Linked DNA regions of Alligator mississippiensis. The protein of the gene in region 2 purifies or fractionates together with the protein of the main gene of each other region. This does not show direct contact. Links are inferred from orthologs where the notes say so. Each region holds a gene or a part of one and is shown on either strand. Other genes may lie near its edges.

Region 1 (9,644 bases), on a different chromosome or scaffold from region 2:
CTGGACCCTCTCCAGGTTATCCATATCGCTCTTGAAGTGCGGCGCCCAGAATTGCACGCAGTACTCCAACTGCGGTCTGACCAGCGCCCAATAGAGGGGAAGTATCACCTCCTTGGACCTATTCGTCATGCATCTGCTGATGCACGATAAAGTGCCATTGGCTTTTCTGATGGCTTCGTCACACTGCCGACTCATGTTCATCTTGGAGTCCACTAGGACTCCAACATCCCTTTCCACTTCCGTGCCACCCAGCAGGTCATTCCCTACAGATTTATCCCAGTCCTTCCTACAGAAACCTTTTTTGTATTTTAAGATGTGCAAAGAAGAGCCGGAGTGGCTTGAGAGGGTTTTATACTGTGTTAAGAGCACAGGAAGCCAGGGGCCAAACTAAAACAAAAAAGATAATAAAATCTGTCCAAGCTTCACCCACTTGAGACACCAACATGTGACTGTTCGCAGTAGGTTGTGCATGCTTTCTGCACCTGAGATTTTCAGTGGGGTTCAAACTTTTATTAGCGCTAAAATTTAAAGTGCACAAAATTAATGCATCATATGTTAACTAGATTAAGACAGGCTAACTGCTAGATCTCAAAGTAACTGTAGATCAGGAATCATCTTTGTGTGGGGTATTTCTTGCAATGTCCAGCAAAGATCTGTTCTTGCCCCTGAGCAATACTGTATCAGTGATGCAGAGCAATGGTGCTCAACCCTTTGGTCCTGTGGGCCAGGTGAGTGGTGCTGATCCGGTAGGCAAGATTGCTCCATGGGCCAGATTCAGTGTGGTGTCAGCATGCAGAGTTGGTCTGTGGGCTCTAGAAGCTGCAGCAATTAATGCTGAAACAGCTCTTCCGACAGAGAGGAAACAATGCGAGTGGCAAGTCAGCCACTGCTCACAAAAACTGGACAGCTTTTAAGGGGACATTGTAGTTGTAGACATTGAAAATGACACGTACCCAAGCAGCGATGTGGAAAATGAAGAGAATCCAAGGGTCAGAAGAAGAGTTGGACGTGGTTAGAGCAGCAGGCAAATCTGATGGTCCTTGTAGCAGTGTTTTTGATAACTGGAGATGGGAGTACCCAAGTTTTCAGAGCAAGCAATGCCAGGGTCCCCTGTATTAATGCAGACTCACCACCAGTGCTGAACCTATTCGATAGAAATGCTGAAATGAATTAATTGCAGCATGTGTAACAAGTAACTTCTGGTGATCAATCTGTGCATGCAGATACCAAGTGTGTTACCATGGTGACAAACACTATACAATTAAAAACAGTATTTTTTCTAAGAACTCTGAATATATCATTACCTGTGGTAGTTTTCATAGAAATCTAGCAACGATGTTGATGAGAGTGGTCCTTTGGGGTAACTGGCTGATATTCCTTATCATCCTTCCCCACTGCTTTACCATTGATCGTTGAAGCAGTGGCAGGAACTAAGTGTTGGCTTGGAGAAGATCTCTCCTTGCATTCCATGGAGTTGCTGGGCACAGGGTTGTTGGAACAAAATAGCCCCGAGTTTCTCATAGATTGCATTAAAGAATAGCAGCAAGAGCAGCTGAAGGCAGAGTAGAAGGAAATGGACTTGAAAGGGAGTGAACGACCTTGACACCCAAAAGTATTGTTAGTAGCCTGTACTCAGCTCAGCACCTCTCCTGCACCTACGTGTATTCCTCTCCAGTGCCAGATGGGCATCGCTGTCTCAGAAAGGTTCTGCTATGTGCCCAAAGGACCTGTGCAGTTCACAAGTCAAGCCCAGCAAGCTAGGGCATCTAGAGCAGAAGCCTGATGGGGAGTGACCTCAGGAATTACATTTTGAGTGGGCGTATGTGGCTGTGATTCTTGAATGCGGGGGGAGTGTCTTTTGCACAAATTGTCCTTCCAAACAGTCTTGGATGGCACGCTAAGTACCTTACAGACATGGGGGCAAATTCTTTAAGGCACAGATTAACTGGATTGACAGTGCATTTTACGTACATTATGCTACTTGAGGAAAATTCAGCAGTGGGGCTGGAGGAGTTAATTTGGCTTGGATCTCATTTCCAGCTTGGCCTTTACAATCAAAATGCCTTTTCTTCCTCAAATGTAGCTGTTTTCCAGAGACTCACTTTGAAAGAGTGTCCCTGAAACAGATACTGGATAGTAAAATCCCAAGAGGCCGCAGCAGAAGTGTATTTCAATTGACAAAAAGCTGGATGAAGTGGAATGAAAATGGCCTACTGAATTCTCCAGGGGTTTTGGTGAGAGCTCTGGTTGCTTCTGGATGTTAATGAGCTTGTAGCGGCAGCCACAGCTCAGACCACTGATAGAGACCCAGCTCGCTGTGCCTAGCGCATGGCTGACGGTGCCAGGGCGCGCACGGTAACTGGGGAGCCTGCTGCACTTCCAAGACTCGCCCAGTCTTCTCTGCTGCCATGTAACTGGCACGGGAGCTGCCCCAGGATAGTTCCTTAATTAGGGATTGTTTCCCAGTTGGAAAAAGAAAGGGATGCAATTGAGCAGGATGCTGCGTTGGGACAGAACAGCAACAGAGACCCTGCCTACTTGCCAGATCTTTGCAAATTGTTTCAAAAACAGGGAAGGGAGGAGTCATTTCCATTTTCAACAGTCTTTTCCAACTAATTACGTGTATTCATTTCTATTCCAGCAGTGCCAAAAGACCCTTATCAAAGATCAGGGCCTCATTATACTTGGCACTATCCAAATGAATAATAAAACATTCCCTCCTCTGGGAAAGGTTTCAGTTTTCCCAGTAGATTGCCAGACATTGGGAAAGGTAGTGAAATGATATAAAGTCAGCGCTCCTCTCGTCTCATACCATGCAGCTCGAAGGATGAGTTGGTAAGCAAATCGTGCGATTGGATATTTTATCGAACAAAGACATCTCCCTCTGGACAGACGGGGCACAGGAGTTTGGACTCGCTGGAAGCCCACCCAGGATGCCTTTTGGGACAGGAGCAGGCTAGGAAAGTGCACGGCTGATCCTGACAGGAGAAGAGCTACATACTAAGGGCAAAACTTGGGCTATGGTTGTGTTTGCTCTGGTTAAAATGAGAGCTGTTTCAAAACCCAGAGTTGGCAGCATAGCAAACTGAGGTGGCATTTGGACAATGATGGTACTAATGGCCCTAGCTACCTGAGCACCAGACTTGAGACACCCGATGCCTGGTTTTTGAAAGGGTTACTCAGGACGCAGCTGACACCCTTGGGAGCTGTAGAAGGAGCACGGCTTTGAGAATCAAAGGTCCCAAGTTAGAATCCTGCTCCACCACTGACTCACTGTGTAGCCTGGGGCAAATCCCTGCATCTTCCTTTCCACCTTCCTCATCTGTCAGGTGGGGATTACAGTATCCCTAGTTTCCCAGAGGTGTGGTTGCAAGGATCGGTGTCTGTACCTTGCTTTGAATGCACAAAAACGCTAATAAGTGCTCCGACCATCAAATCTCAGGTACCCCACATTGGGGGTTTTCACTGAGGCACAGGAAATTCGTGCAGGGTTTAGATGGGAGGCAATCCTCTATCCTCTCCCAGATTTGGGAGGCAGTCCCCTCAGTGCCTACGAAGGAAAAGAAGTCCTGTCTCGTTCACTGAATGGCATTCGTCCTGCAACTGGAATCACGTAGGTGTTCTGTGCAGAGTTTGATCGTATAACTAGCTGCATCATATGCACAAAGGGGAAGATATAAAATCGTTGAAGCAACTTTGTATCTAGTAATGAGTTTGCAACCAAAAAAACCATTGTTTAAAATGTTGGGTTTTGTATTCTAGGTACGTAATTGCACTGGGAAATTGGGCAAGGTCAGAGAGGAAGAACCTGTGATGCTTGTACACTGCTACAAGAAGCTTCAACAATGAACTGTTGGACTAGAACTTCAGTTGTGACGTGGCGGTGATCCTGGGATGGTGAGGTATTTCCATGGCAGCCTTCCCCCATTGACACTGGTGCACAGGACATGCATTCATTTCTTTAATTTTTCTCTCATTTGCTGCTGCCTCCATTTGCCTTATGGTGCTGAGATTTACTGCTCTGCCTTCCTTGGTAAGGGCTGTTCTGAAAGTTTCCCAGGGAAGCCCTCCTTACTCCCATCAGTTATTTCACGTGGGAATCTTTGTGCTGGTATCCGGAAACAACATGCCTCAGATGTCTAGTGCTTCCCTCTGATTCTGGCGGAGGCGAGCTGCTGGCTGGGGATTTCTTGGACCTCTTGAGTGGCGAGGAAGAGTGCCCGTGCAGTGCCCACAATCTTTCACAGGTTCTCGTTTTTGAGGACGTTCTGTTTCCTGTATAATGTGGTAAATCCCCAGCTCTTGCAGCCCTGCTGTAGCATAGATTATATTGGAGTTGTAAAGACTACTCTCCACTGTGGTTCCAGTGCTGCGTATCTTTGCTTTGCAGGTGTTGTTGAGCTGAATAAATGTGGATGTTATTCCCGTCTCTGATGCCACTGAGCTCTCTCCTGGTAACATGGTGCTGCCCAGGTAGATGGCCTGGTTTGTTTTCTACAATGTTTTTGCCTTCTGGTGCGATACTGCAGTTTCACAGGGCACTGGCGAGACCTCGGAAAGACTGCATGCGATTCCAGTTAGTTGAAAGAGGAATTCAGACAGGAACAGGTATAGACGAGGGTTACTGGGATGCTCTGGGGAATTGAGAGCCTAACGGTTGGGTTTGTTTAATCTAGCGAAACAAAGACAGATGCAGTGTGATGTGACTGTAATTTGTAAATACAGGAAGGAGGTAAACATCATGGCTGGGAAAGAAAACAGTCTAAAATAAAAGACAACGCTGGCACAAGAATGAATGGAGATTAACGTAGCTGTGAATCATGTAGGCTTGAAATTAGAAGGCTCATAACTATCAGAGGAGTGAGGTTTTGGAAGAGCCTCCCAATAGGAGAAGTGGGGGCAAGAAACGGGACTCGTTTTACGATGGAGCATCAGTGTGTGGATGCGACCACGCGGCGTGGTTCCCTGCAGCAGCAGGACACTGCTAGGCTCAGCGACCCAGGAGCTGTCGCCCGGTCCCACGTTCCTGTGTCCACGTGCGCACGCCACGGTAGTGTCTCCTGCTTCCACCGGGAGATTTAGAAACAACAACCATTGCTGGAAGTATTCAACTGAAATGAGTTAATAAAAAAGTGGGGGTTTTTGGCAGGGGGTGGGCAAACCTAAGATTTGGACCAAATCTGAACCAACTAATGCTTTTTCAAGAAACCTGTTCAGTTTCTTTCAGCCCTAGTTCTCTACGATCTACGCCGGGGCCCACAGCGTTTTTGGGCAGCGCCAGAAGCCCCCGCACGACCCGGACTGGTAAGGTGTCGGGGTGCTGGGATGCATGGCAGGGGACCCGAGGGGCCTGCGCCCGGGCGTGGCAGTGCGGCCCCAGCCCCTTCCCCAGCGTGTGCCCCGAGGCGGGCACGCCGGCGCTGGCACGAGTGTGGGGCTGCCTGCCCCGTTGATGACCCGCTCGCTCACCCCTCTTCCGCGAAACGTGGCACAGATCTGTGCTGCAAGAACAGGTGCTGGTACCGCCCGGCCACCGCCGAGTCACACCTTGCCTGGGCGGTGTCCCCGTGCCGTGGGTGCGCGGACAGGGCGTGTCACGGCGCGGGCTGCCACCGGGTCTCGTACAGCCCCCGCCCGCCACGCTGTTGGGCCTGTAACAAAGTCGCCCCCGCACGAGGAGGCGGCTGCAGCTGTGCGGCCCGCGGGGTGGCTGCCCTGGCGCGCGGGGGCCTTGCTGGACCCCCCCCCCGCCCGTGCACGGGGGCAGCGGCGTGCTTGTGTCCGCTCCCCCCCGGCCCGGGGCTGCCCGCCCTCGCCGCCCAGCGCCCCGCCCCGGCCCGGCGCAGCAGGCAGCGGAGCGGAGCGGAGCGGGGCGGGATCCGGGGCGCGGGCGCGGGCGGCTCCTCCCCGCCGCCACGCCCGGGCAGAGCAGGAACAGGAACCGCCGCTCCCGCCCGCCCGCCCGCCCGCGCAGCCCAGCGCAGCGCAGCGCAGCCCCGCGCCCAGCGCACCCGGCCGCCATGTCGGTGTCGGACGAAGCGGACGGCCCCGGGGTGGCCCGGCCACACTATGGCTGTGAGTACCGGCTCCGCTCCGCCCGCCCCGCCCCGCACCGCGCCCGGCAGGCAGGCAGGCAGGCAGGGAGGGTGGACGGACGGGCGGGCGGGGGGCGCGGTGACCCGCCCGCGCGTGGCGTGGGGAGCGGCCGCAGCGCGCGGTGGCGGAGGAGACGCCCGCAGCCCCCGCCCCGCCCCGCCCCGCACGGAGGGCCCTGGCACCCGTCCCTTCCCGGAGCGGGCGCGGTGCTGAGCCCCGGGCCGCCAGCACGAAGCGCGCTGCAGCGGGGGCGCGGGGCGCCGGGCAGGTGTCTCGCGGCCCGGCCCGGCCCGGCCGTGTCGCGTGGGCAGCTTCCCCCCGTGGCGCGGGGGCTGCTCGTGCGTTGGGTGGCAGCGCCGAGCAGCCTGTGCCGGGCGTGTGGGGTGGCCGTGCGGCCCCGGGTGCTCGGCCTTGGCTTCCCCCAGGCCTTGGGGCCGGCTTCCCTCCTCGCCTGCCAGGCCGTCACCCACGTGCGAGCCCGGGAAGGGAGGCTGCCTGGGGATCCCCCTTCAGCAGCTACCTCTCCCTGCTCATCCAGCACTGGAGGGCTGGGTTCCTGGCCTCCTCACCTCCCAGCTGCACCCAGGCCTGGCACATGTTGCCAGCGATGACTCAGTTCAGGCCCTGCTCCGGGCTCTGTAGCCCTGCCTCTGCCCTCTCTGGGACTGGCTCTCGCCAGCCCCAGCTCTCGTTCTTCCTCGGCCCTGTTCCTGGGCTCTGGCCCTCCACCACCCCCGGTCCCAGGCCCAAACCACCAGTGTTTTCCAGGCAGGTCCACAATACTCTACTTGCCTGCCCTACTCCCAGGCTCAAGCGTATCCCTGGTGCGAGTCAGGGGCTCCTCTGCTGCCCTCCCGGGTGGGAGCTCTTCCTCCCATACCTGCCCCCGCTCGGGCCCGGGCTTATACGCTCTCACCTGGCCCCTTCCAGTCCCTTGAATGCCACCTGGGCTCTTCCTAGAGCCTTTCTCCTGAAGTAACAGGAGCGCAAAGGTGCCTGTTACGACGTGCAGATGCTGCACAGACCCTCAGGGTTAGGATCTGAACATGGTGGAGTTTCCAGTTTCTCCTGTGTGCGTCCCTGTCCCATGTGAACAGCCCAGCATTGTGCGGTGGAGATGGGCTGCAGTCCGTACGCACGTCTTCTCCGGCGTGAGGTGCCCGGTTCTCTCTTCGTGCCTCCTACTCGCCTGCGTCAGACGCCCGGCTGCCCTTCCATATGTCTCCTCTTGCTTCATTTGATACAAGAACATTTTGGTTGTTGCAAGACGATTCCTTTTTTCTGCACAAAGAGACTGTCTCCTTTCTGAATCGATACATAATCTGTTCCCGTTTGTAGTCCTAATGTAATTTTTAACATTGAAAAGCTGATAAACTGTAGCGTTAATGTTTTAACTTTACCTCTGCCCCTTCTGTATCTGCATGGTGAAGGACGTGACTGCGCACCCTTCTTTGCACAGGCTCCGGGTCTCATTCTCAGTACCGGTTAGAAGGGGGATGAGGCTTGGCTTCCAAGAGAATGAAAAAGTGCTCCTGTGGGGTTATGGCTGCTTTGAGACCTAAATTGTCACAATTGCATAGAAGCAAATGGATCTTACTTTGAATATGCCTGTGTGTAAATGGGTAAATAGAAAATGAGGGCTGGAAGGGACATCTGGTCCAGCCCCCTGTTCAAAGTAGGACCAGCTCCAGCTGTTAGATTTGGACGCTATGTATATTGAGTAAGGTGAGGGGTCTCTGTTTAGTAGTAGTGGAAACAGGAGTACAGGTGCTAATTGCATGCTAAATGAGTCTAGGATAGTTAGGAAATAATAGTATGTGATTATGTATTTTAAACACTGTATCGTTATGCAGATGTGAAATGAGAGACTGTGTTGCACAAGCCCTGTCTCCATTAATGGCAGCCTGCAGCTTAATTATGTTAAAAACCCCAGATTAGACCCTGCTAAATGCAGTTGAAGTCTTTTTTGGGATTTAGCTGTGAAAATCACTAAGCCACTGTGAAGGGCAGTTTTAGCCCTTTCCCCCAAAGGATTTATAGATTGACCAGATTTGGGTGGGTTTTCATAGGACAGCAAAAGGCACTTTTTTGATGTAAAGGCCACCCATGTACCAAATGCCAAGTTCCTGTTCAAAAGTATGGCAGTGCTAGAGCTTCTTAAAACTAATGTCATCAGGTTATTTTAAAATGGGCAAAATATATTTTTCTTTCCACTTATTCTTGGAAATGGCTGAACCTCCTTGTCTGAAAATTTTCAGAATGATTCAGCCTGAGGTTAGCGACCAGTATGCAGAATTTCAGCCTAAATAGCCAAAGTTTGAAGTTGTGCCCCATAAAATAGGAAGCATCAGACAGTGTTATAACAGCAGTTGTGCTGTCAGCTCACTTTGGGTCAGAAGGAGCGTGCAGATATCCATGTTACCAGATTATGTAGTTGTCATCTTCCCCCTTCATCTCAAACTTCCCCAAAAATTCACGGTCGAGCCAAGATTAGACACTGACAGTGTTCATTTGAAATCCTGTCTAGCACTACTCCAGCTATGCAGGTGGTCCAGTCAGAGACATTGCTGTTAGAAATCCTTGCTTCTCCCAGTATGAATCACAAAACCGTGGGAAAGCAGGGCTGGAAGGATGCTCCAGAGGTCGTCTAATCCAGTCACCTGCATGAGGCAAATCCATTAGCTAACCTCTCAGCAAAACTGCGTGGTCAGCCGTGACACAGTCACACAACGACACCTGAACCTGCCACAGGTAAAGCAGGGGGGCCATGGCGGCCATCGTCCCACGGTTGTTAAAAAACACTCGAGGTCCAAAGAAGAGAGCCAGGCCCCACTCCCTTTAGAGGAAGGTGTATGGACCCCCCCCAGTCTGTACGAATCTGACCGCAAGGTAAACCCCCCAGCGTAGTGTTGGTCTGGCCTTAGCCAGGAGCCTCTGGGTGCAAGTCCCAGCAGCAGCATAGGCACACCCCAGTAAAATACTTCTGAGGAAAGCAAAAAACCAAACAAACCCCTAAAACACACAGCAGTAGGGGGAGAAAAATTTCCTCCCAGCCCCATCTGGGACCCAGCAAAGCCCACAAGCCTGGGAAATACCCACAGTAGAGCATGGCAGTAGCTGCGTCTAGATCCTCCCTGACCAATGCTTATCCACTGCATGAGATGCTCCGGGCGCTTTAATTACAGGTACCGTATCCCAAAACTGCATTCGCCTTTTGTGCAACTGCATCATGCTGCAGACTCATGCCGAGTCTGTGATCTACCAAGACTTCCATATCCCAGGGGTAGTTGAAGGGAGGATGCACATGTTTGCGTAGGCTGCAGGATTGCAGACAAGGACCTGGGGGTTGAAGTGGACTGTAAGCTGAACATGAGCTAATAGTAAGCTCTTGCTGCAAAAAAAAATGCCAGTGACACCCGGGGTTGTATTGAGAGGAGTGTCACTTGCAGATCGCAGGTGTGGTCTCTCCTGGAGTACTGGGGCCAGTAGTGAGACCCGCACTTCAGGACAGACATGGACAGATTAGAAAGAGCCCACTGGAGAGCGAC
Region 2 (9,350 bases):
TGGCAGTAGTCAGCTAGTGTGGGACTTTTTTTTTTTTAAAGTGCTGGGACACTTGGGCCGGGTGGGGCAGCCATTGACGGGACTGGGAGAGTTGGTGGGGGATGAGGCCTGTTTGATTTGGAGATTCAGCCGATTTGGTGGTAGACAAATCTCCGAATCAGATTTGTCCAAATCGCTTTGGGACAGTGATTTGAATTGCCAAATTGAATTACTGCCCCCCCCCCAAATCAGCCGAATCCAAAGTGAATACTAGCTGTTTTGCACAGGCCTACTTGTTACCCTTGAATTAATCCTATCAAGTCTACAGAAATCCAGCTTACCTTTCCATCCTTCCATATGCTTTGTGCTTCATTAGTGTTTGCTACAAACATCTACCCAGTCATCTTCCATCTGGTGTGTGAGCCCTACAGCAAATCATTTGTTCCCCTTGCACAGACTTGGTCTCCTGGTTGCTACTGTAAATTCACAATAGTCCTGGGAAGCTGTAATTGCTGCAAAGCCCCCTCACTAGATAAAGAGATCTGGTTTTATCCCATTTCCTGTGGGAACTGTAGGGTCCATCTTTGGACTTTGGCTGAACTGTGAGGTTGAATCGCACATTTCCTTGGATTGTGCAAACTAATATACACCAATTTGTGTTTGGAAGCAATTTCTGGGAGTTTCTTATGATAGCAATGTGAGATGCTGGGGCCAGGCCAGAAGCCTTGGCCTAGGCCCAGGCCAGAAGCCTTGGCCTAGGCCCCTTTGAATTCACCCCAAGGTCTGCTACTAGTTCATAGCTCCTTGTGTGAGATTATTCTAGCTGTGAGTGGGGGAAGCCTGCTCAGATTGAGCTCTTCCTACCCCACTGCACAGATGAGAGCGAGAGACTGTGACTGCTGCAGGCACCTAACAGCTCTGGCTCCCAGGCCTGTGTATCCACAAACACAACCTCCCCCTTAGTTAACGGTAGTGTTTTTGCTGTGCCAGCCCCTCCCATCTACAAACGTTCCCCAACTGTTCTCTATGAACCCATAACCTGTTCCTTCCTTTCTCTGGCCAGTCCTTGCTCTTCATCCACCAGGTTTCATTCCCCTCCTTTTGTGAACTCTCTGGTCCCTCGCCCCGCCACCCCAAGTCCATGCATCTCAGAGGCTTAATGGGCACATCCTGGGTTGGGATGACTTACTGTTGAATTTGGGTATGTTCGGGCAGTTATGCTGGCTGCTGCCTCTCCGCAGCTGGCCTCACCTCCCTTGAATTAACTGGAAACAATTAAGATTAATCAGTAAAATATTCTTAAACCAAAAATAAACACGTTTCACAAGGATTTAAATAGTTCTTGGTAAATTGCCTTAAAGTCATACTTTATGTTAACCCAGCACAACAATTTAATGTAGACACAACCTGTTAGTATGGTATTGCTAATCCAAACAGGCAAACAAATGAGTCTAGTTTCCCAAATCAGAAGACTGGTTTATGACATTTTTGTTTAATACATTTTAATTTTTTTATATCTGGCTACCAGTTTTAGAGCTTTTAGAAGTGCGCCTACTTCACATTTTCAAGAGAGAGCAGGAGCTGACTGTGCTGCTGCTGAAATATAAGGTGGAGCGTAGTTTTAGATATATGTGTTAGGGTGTGGTGTGATTTTTTTTTTTTAATTACTAAACTATTTATACATGTAGAGACTCTAGTATGATCATAGCAAGTCTTGTGTAAAGGTTTTTGTGCCTGAGAAGCTTTTTTCATTTCCATTATGGAGCATATCAGTATAACTTGTCCCCACTAGGGGGAGTTGTTCAACTTCAGCAATATCTGTATAGATAAAGCCATATGGATTTTTCAGGGAAACATCCTATGAGATATTTTATCTAGAATATTTTTCTGCTGTTCTGCAGTGTAGACATTAGAGGGAGCAGAAGATACAAGAAATCCAGCACTGTAGCAGATTCTGTAAACAGCACCCTCAGGATCTCCTTTGCTGCTGCTATAGTTCTGCTGCAGTCATTCACTCCAATACAAAACAAGGGCAAACCATTGCTGTTCTGATTTGGTAGCATATTATAGGTACTTTTCATTCATCTTGTGCTGGTGTAAATATCTACACAAGGCACTGAGAAATTAGGCCAGGCTTAGAAAATTTAGGTTAGTGCATTGTTAGGCCTTTTCTGAACACAGGTGCGCAGGTTTAACTAACTTAAAGCCTCCTTTTTAAAACAGTTGCCAAACAACTTGCATTGATTTAATGCAGTAAGGAACTGACTTAAAATAACACAGATCAGCTCTCATGTGATATAAAAGTGCATCAGTATTGATGATTCTTATGCATTTACTGAGTGATTCTTTTGATATTTGGTGCTTTTTCTTGAAAGAGTCACAGAGTCTCTACTGAGGAAAACCCAGGCTGTAGATGTGTTCCCTCGGTGAGGTCAGGCCATGATAAGTGTTCTCTTTCACTCTTCTGCACAACTTGTGCTGGTGGGGTAAAAGGTTTTGGAACCAGAGAGCAGTGATTATTAGTCAGCTCTGCACTTTGACTACTTGGAGTGCCTTATAGAAGGGAGTGGAAAATCACTGTATTACAGCAGCCCCTGGTTACATATGCCTGCACCCTATGCTGCATCTTCTCATAGGGGATATCAAGATATGTGCCAAAATCTTGAGTGCCTAATCCTTCAGCTATGTTCAGTATCAGCAAGAAAAAACAAAATTTGCTTTTCATCCTTACCCCCACACTGTCCCTTGGTGGTATGGCCAAGACCTGCACCCCTCCTTAAAGCAAAAGGACACCTCTGAAGAATGTTTTCCCATGATGGTGATCCCAGCTGGAGGGATGGAATGGGTGCTGGTACTGTCCCAGGGTCTGAGCCCCAGCTCAATATGTGCATTAGCTCTGATTTTGTGTAAGCCATAAGGTCTTTGTGCACAACCAGCCGCCTGTTTACCGTAGCACAAGGCTTATAGCTCTTGAGCTTTCAAGCAGTCAGTCTGCACTTTCAGACACCACTGAATCGTATTCCTGGAGTCAACAGAATTTCCCCTGCTAAGGGGTAACAAGAGAGCATCAATTTGTAGAAATAAATGAACAGATGGCATTTACACTTGACTGGAGATTGCAATTACTGCAGGGCTGGATTGGCCCTTTTACAACAGTGCCTGGCTAGGGACAGAAGTTTCTGCAGGGGAAACCCCTCTAGAGCTTTCTCTTTATTCATCCAATCCCCTCAAGAGCAAGCAAGTATCCTGCTGAGGGGAGGACCAACCCGGCAGATCGTCCTTAACAGTGGACTTGTGCCTTTATCTCTGAGCTTCCAGGTGACTTCCATCTCTGGGACTTTTTGAATTCGTGGCTCCCAAGCCTGAAAGTCCCCCCAGCTATATCTCTGCAGAGCCAATGTTCATCATCTATTCATGCTATTTCTCCAGAGAGTTCTCCTGAGAATCTGGAAAGTAGCAGATGCCTTCTGCAGGAATAGCAAGGAGGCCCCAGGGGCATGACTGAATCCTTCGTTAGTGAACAGCACAGTAGTGAGGGAAGGAGCAGGTAGGTGCTTTTTCACCAGTAATTCAAGATTTTCCCCTCATTGTTCATGAAATCTTTCTGAAATCTATTCCTTCCCAATAGACTGGCTGACTGTATTTAACAAACATTTAGGACTCATTCATATTTGCTCACATGGAGGTTTTTTTGTTTATTTTTGCTGATTTCACTGTACTTTGGATAAGATTCTCAGTTACTGTGGAGATTTCCCTTGATTTTGATAGGCTTTGAATCAGGCTTTGGAGTATGAGCCTCATCCACAGTTGTCTGCCCAATAGTCTAGGTTTCTTCCCATCCTATGGGATTTAGGATTCAGTTGAGGATTCCCAATTAATTGCCTTCATTGCCTCATTTGTGAGTTGCCACATTTGTGAGTTAGCGAGTCAGCTTCAAGAAAGAACAATTCGTTATAGAATTAGCTTTTAGAGACGGTTGGATGTATCTGCATGATCTCTGACTCTTCAGAAACCGTTGTATGCTACTAGCTTTGCAACTAAGCCCCTACGCTTAAAGTAGAAGCATGCTACTTACCATCTCCCAGGTCTCCTGCTCTTGTTTCTTTTAATAGTACAGAAGACCCATCAGTCAGTATCTTATTGTCACTCAGAGCCTGGTGCGCATACACTTATCAGCGACAAAGAAGGAAACTGGCTTTTTCATCTGTGTCTGCTACAAAAAGGCCTCATTGTATTTTATTGGGTAAAGGGTGGGGTGCAAACAGAAGAGTGAACGAATTAACACAACAATTTTTATGTATTACTTTAAACATGTGACCCAATTCATAGCTGCACTGAATTTAGACCTAGTGGAAGAAAGTGAGGTGCGTGTAAAACAAAAAAAAAAGAAATCAAAGCCTGTTCTAACCCTGTGAACCCCAAAATCCTGTGCATCCTATTTTGAAAATGTTAGCAATGGAGTAAAATAAAAAGTAACCTTCCTTTAAAAAACAATAAGGTACCCTAACAATAAGGTAAGCAAACCTGAAAGCAAAGTCATATGCCAGCCAGCCAGAGCCAAGTCTAGAACACTTAGTTTGGCACTCAGCAATAATTCTGCACAAGCTTCCCTGACTATTTAGCCTGGATCTTACCTGTCGTACAACTACCAATTATGTGGTGGTTCAGAATGTAGAAAAAAATTTACCTTCAACAGTGACTAGGGGCCTGACCCAGAAGCCACTAAAATAACTGGTGGCTGGTCAGGACCTAGGAACGTAACAACCCCACAGCTCATTCATTCTGTTCAAAGGTAAAAAGTCAGATCATTATCCCATAATAATACTGATTCCTCCCCTGCAAACTGGGTTTTCAGAGCCTAAATGTTTTTGACTTGGTGTTGCAGGGCACCTTGGTGCCCTGCTCCTAGAGAGTGGAAACTACCAGGGAGAGAGAGCAGGACATAACGAGCACAGCTGCAGGTTGCCAGGGCAACTGGAGGCAGCGAATGACTGACACCTGACAGTGGTTAGTTGGCTGTAAGGGGCAAGGCCTGGCCCTTATAAAGCCCAGAGCTGAAGCCAAGCTGGCAGTTCTCTGCCAGCGGCCGGGGAGGCAGGAGATCCTGGAGCTAGGATGCGAGCATTGTGGGAACCGCTCTAGCTGAGTGAAGGAGGGCAGCTCAAAGAGGTTTGATCACCATGGTTTAGCCAGATGGCTTATAGTTATGTTGTAGCCTAGGGGCTTGTGGTTTTGTTGTTGTTTATTACACCGGTGGCTAGGGTGAGGCTATTAGGGGTTGGAGGAGGCTTCATAGGGAGCCCCAGGGGGGTGCGGGCCCCAGCGCCAGTGAGGGGGCAGTATTATTAGGGAGCCCCAGGGCGGGCGCGGCAAGCCCTGAGGAAGGCCTAGTGCTGCAGTAAACCCCGGAGAAGGGCGGTGTACTGCGGTGAACCCTGAGAGAAAGGGGGTAGCAGTGTGGTGAGCTCTGGAGAGCAGGGCTAGCAGTGCGGTTGGGCCTGAAAGACAGGTGGCTTGACGAGAAGTCCCAGAGAGGGTGCAGAAGTCCCCAGGAAAGGGGGCAACATTACAGGGAAGGCCCCAGAGAGGGGCAACATTACAGGGAGCCCCCGAGTGGGCTCGGAGAGCCCAAGAGGGGGGGCAGCATGACAGAGGAGGCCCAAGAGAGCGGGCAGGTGTACACAGGAGGCCCCAGAGAGGGGTGACATCACAGAGAAGGCCCCGAGGGGGCTTGGAGAGCCCAGGAGGGGGCAGCATAACAGAGAAGGCCCGAGAAACGGGCATGAATATAGGCAGAGACACACCAACATCTATTCCATCTGCGAGGCTTGGGGCGTGGTATCGGGGGTGGCTGGAGCCACGTGTAGCTCATAAGGCTAGGGTGCCTGGGAAGCACCCATCATACGAGGAGACCCCTGGTGGGTCCGGGAAAACACGGGGACAGAGGTCCCAGCTAACTGTGCCCAAGGAGACGTGAGGCAGCCTCCCAACTTAACCTAACATCAAAGACGTGGTGGGTAAGAATAGAGGGTGCCCTTGGGCTGATTTGGCACGGAGGAAGGGGCCTCAAGGAGTTCACGGCCCTCCTGTAGGACCCCCCCGTGACACTTGAGCTGTACTTACAGGCACAAAAGAGCTTATGATTTCATTCCAACATCCAAAATCACACCCCCTCTCGCTCCTTCAGAATAAATAAGGGTCCCTCTGCCTTAGGCTGTTAACACTTTTAAATAAAGCTTCTGCCCCACTCCCCCACCAAAAAAAAGATGAAAGAGATCCGTTGCTCCAAAAGTATAGAGCAATATGTGATAGAAAAGCAATTGCGTACACAGTAATGTGATTCCATAAAGTACTTTTCATACATAATTTTTAAAGCATTTTACAAAACAAGGCACTTCTGTTGTCTGCATTTATGGATGGACAAAATTATGCATAAGAGCACAGGAAAGTGATTTGCACAATGCTCTCCATCAGTTCAGTGGCAAGGACAGGAACCAAACCTGGGACTGTGCCAGTACTCAATTAGTCTTTAACATACAACTGATATTGGTGGTCATTTTCAACTTAAGCACCTGACCCAGGGGTGGGCAAAATGTGGCCTGCCAGGCCATTCTATCTGGCCCATGGGGCCCCTAAAAAATTGAGAAAATTAATATTTATCTGCCCTGGGCTGCCTGTCATGTGGCCTTCAATGGCTTGCCAAAACTCAGTAAGTGGCCCTTTGCCCAAAATAATTGCTCACCCCTGTACTAAAGCCTCTGGGTCCCCAGAAAGTACAAAGCTAAGAATAATTCAGACATTTGATGGAAATATTCAGGGATCTGATTAAATAAATATTTTATTTATGTATTTATTTTAGTACATAGTGAAAAGTAACCACACAACAATAAGAGTCACTGAAAGTTACTTTAAGATATTTATATAGTCAATGTAGGGAAAAAGGACATTTTACTTAAAGCCCAACACCTAGAGAATAATGAACTATTCTGTTGGTGTTTTCTTCATTGCTTCTGTGCAATAGCCTTTCTAAATCACATTTGTTTAGTCCATGTTAAGAACATGCAACATTCCAGGTGGAGGGTTCTTTTGTGACTGTGATCTATCTGGATTTCTGTACATACTTGTTCCATTGGAGCTATTGGTAGTTGTGTTCCAGATTATTTGTACATTATCCTGAAGACCTTATCTATATTATCTTTTCCCTTAACATCTCTCCTGTTTACATTAGCAGCAGTATAACACCACCATGGGAGCACTTCTCTAGACCTGACATTGTTATTGTATCACAGTGCTGTCAAATCCCACTCGCTATGGGCATTTATATATGTGCACCAGGGAAGGGGGGAGGAGGGAGCAGAGCTGCTTTAATTAGAGCGACTCCAAGAACCACTCTTATTAAAGCACCTGGAGCATTATGTGTGCCAGTGTCCCCATGCTGAAAAATGGCAGCAGGCACCTCCTAGATCCTGTTATAGATTCATAGATGTTAGGGTCGGAAGGGACCTCAATAGATCATCGAGTCCGACCCCCTGCATAAGCAGGAAAGAGTGCTGGGTCTAGATGACCCCAGCTAGATACTCATCTAACCTCCTCTTGAAGACCCCCAGGGTAGGGGAGAGCACCACCTCCCTTGGGAGCCCGTTCCAGACCTTGGCCACTCTGACTGTGAAGAAGTTCTTCCTAATGACCCATCTAAATCTGCTCTCTGCTAGCTTGTGGCCATTGTTTCTTGTAACCCCCGGGGGCGCCTTGGTGAATAAATACTCACCAATTCCTTTCTGTGCCCCTGTGATGAATTTATAGGCAGCCACAAGGTTGCCTCTCAACCTTCTCTTGCAGAGGCTGAAAAGGTCCAGTTTCTCTAGTCTCTCCTCGTAGGGCTTGGTCTGCAGGCCCTTAACCATACGAGTGGCCCTTCTCTGGACCCTCTCCAGGTTATCCGCATCCTTCTTAAAGTGTGGCACCCAGAATTGCACGCAGTACTCCAACTGCGGTCTGACCAGCGCCCGATAGAGGGGAAGTATCACCTCCTTGGACCTATTCGTCATGCATCTGCTGATGCACGATAAAGTGCCATTGGCTTTTTTGATGGCTTCGTCACACTGCCAACTCATGTTCATCTTGGAGTCCACTAGGACTCCAAGATCCCTTTCCACCTCTGTGCCACCCAGCAGGTCATTCCCTAGGCTGTAGGTGTGCTGGACATTTTTCCTCCCTAGGTGCAGCACTTTGCATTTCTCCTTGTTGAACTGCATTCTGTTGTTTTCTGCCCACTTGTCCAACCTGTCCAGGTCTGCCTGCAGCTGTTCCCTGCCCTCCGGCGTGTCCACATCTCCCCATAGCTTTGTGTCATATAGTGAGAGAGTTATAGTGAGAGAGTTCCTAAAACAAAATAGTGTAGACGTAGCTTTCCCACGCACGGACTTGTAAGTATTGTTAATGTCTTTCCAGAGCCAGCACAGATGGTAGAAACTGAACATGTCAGTGTGCATCTGCAATGGAGTATTATCTTCCTAATCAGCTACAAACTAAAACGCTAACATCAGCTCCTGGGGTATTTTTCTCTTCCATTTTAAAGCAAGACTGCCTTAACAGCAGGATTTACAAGAAGCAGGGATAATGGAGCCAAATAGAGAATTTATATTGGGCTTTGATAGGTTCTTTGGCCTGCGGAAGAAAGAAAATATCTACCCAGGTTGAATTACTATGACTGAGAAAAATATACTGTATTTCTTGCCTGCCAAGTTCTGTTGTCCATTTATATCCTGTTCTCAAGTGAATACAAATATCCTTGACAGTCAAGTATTGTGCAATTCCTGCCAAATGCTCTCAAATATTAAAATACCACTTACTAAAAGCATGCCCAATATTCTTGTCAGAATTATGAGATCATAGATAACTACTATATTTTACAATTCCATTAATGCATATAGAGGATCAATTAGCAGAATAAGTTATCAGCTCTGCTATTAAAGTAAGAGTAACCTCGTTTAATTTTTGGGGAAATTAAGTTTTCCCAAAACCCAAGACATTTTATGTGGGAACTGCACTAAGATTAACTAACCTCTGCTTTAATCAATGTGTGTGGTGAGATTGAAGCAGCAGTTTCACTGTTAAGTGCACTCTCACATTGCATCTCATCTATAACAAGATCACCTGAAAGAGATGTTTTAAGTTCCAGATTCCTTTTGAGGTTTTCTTTACTGTCCTCATATTCTATTTTCCCTACCTTTTTATGTACAAGTTGACAATGATATTAGGAATCAAGAGAACATTATGGCTCATGGCAATAGGATAAGGAGCATTTTTCCCTGTAGGTTCCATTCAAATCTAAAGTCAGCAAAGGGCAGTGCACAAAGGTTTTTGGGTGA

The links.
Region 1: the proteins of S100B (region 2) and IQGAP1 purify together in Homo sapiens (co-immunoprecipitation; 3 studies listed by BioGRID and IntAct, with this or other methods). This does not show direct contact. The link is inferred for Alligator mississippiensis from reciprocal best matches to the Homo sapiens genes S100B and IQGAP1.

What each region holds. Positions count from the first base shown.
Region 1 is NC_081834.1:413,172-422,815, reverse strand, and holds the start of IQGAP1 (ras GTPase-activating-like protein IQGAP1), read left to right. Parts: upstream 1-5,959; 5' UTR 5,960-6,020; coding exon 6,021-6,075; intron 6,076-9,644. UniProt on the Homo sapiens protein: Plays a crucial role in regulating the dynamics and assembly of the actin cytoskeleton.
Region 2 is NC_081827.1:188,578,290-188,587,639, forward strand, and holds the start of S100B (protein S100-B), read left to right. Parts: upstream 1-5,052; 5' UTR 5,053-5,148; intron 5,149-9,350. UniProt on the Homo sapiens protein: Small zinc- and- and calcium-binding protein that is highly expressed in astrocytes and constitutes one of the most abundant soluble proteins in brain.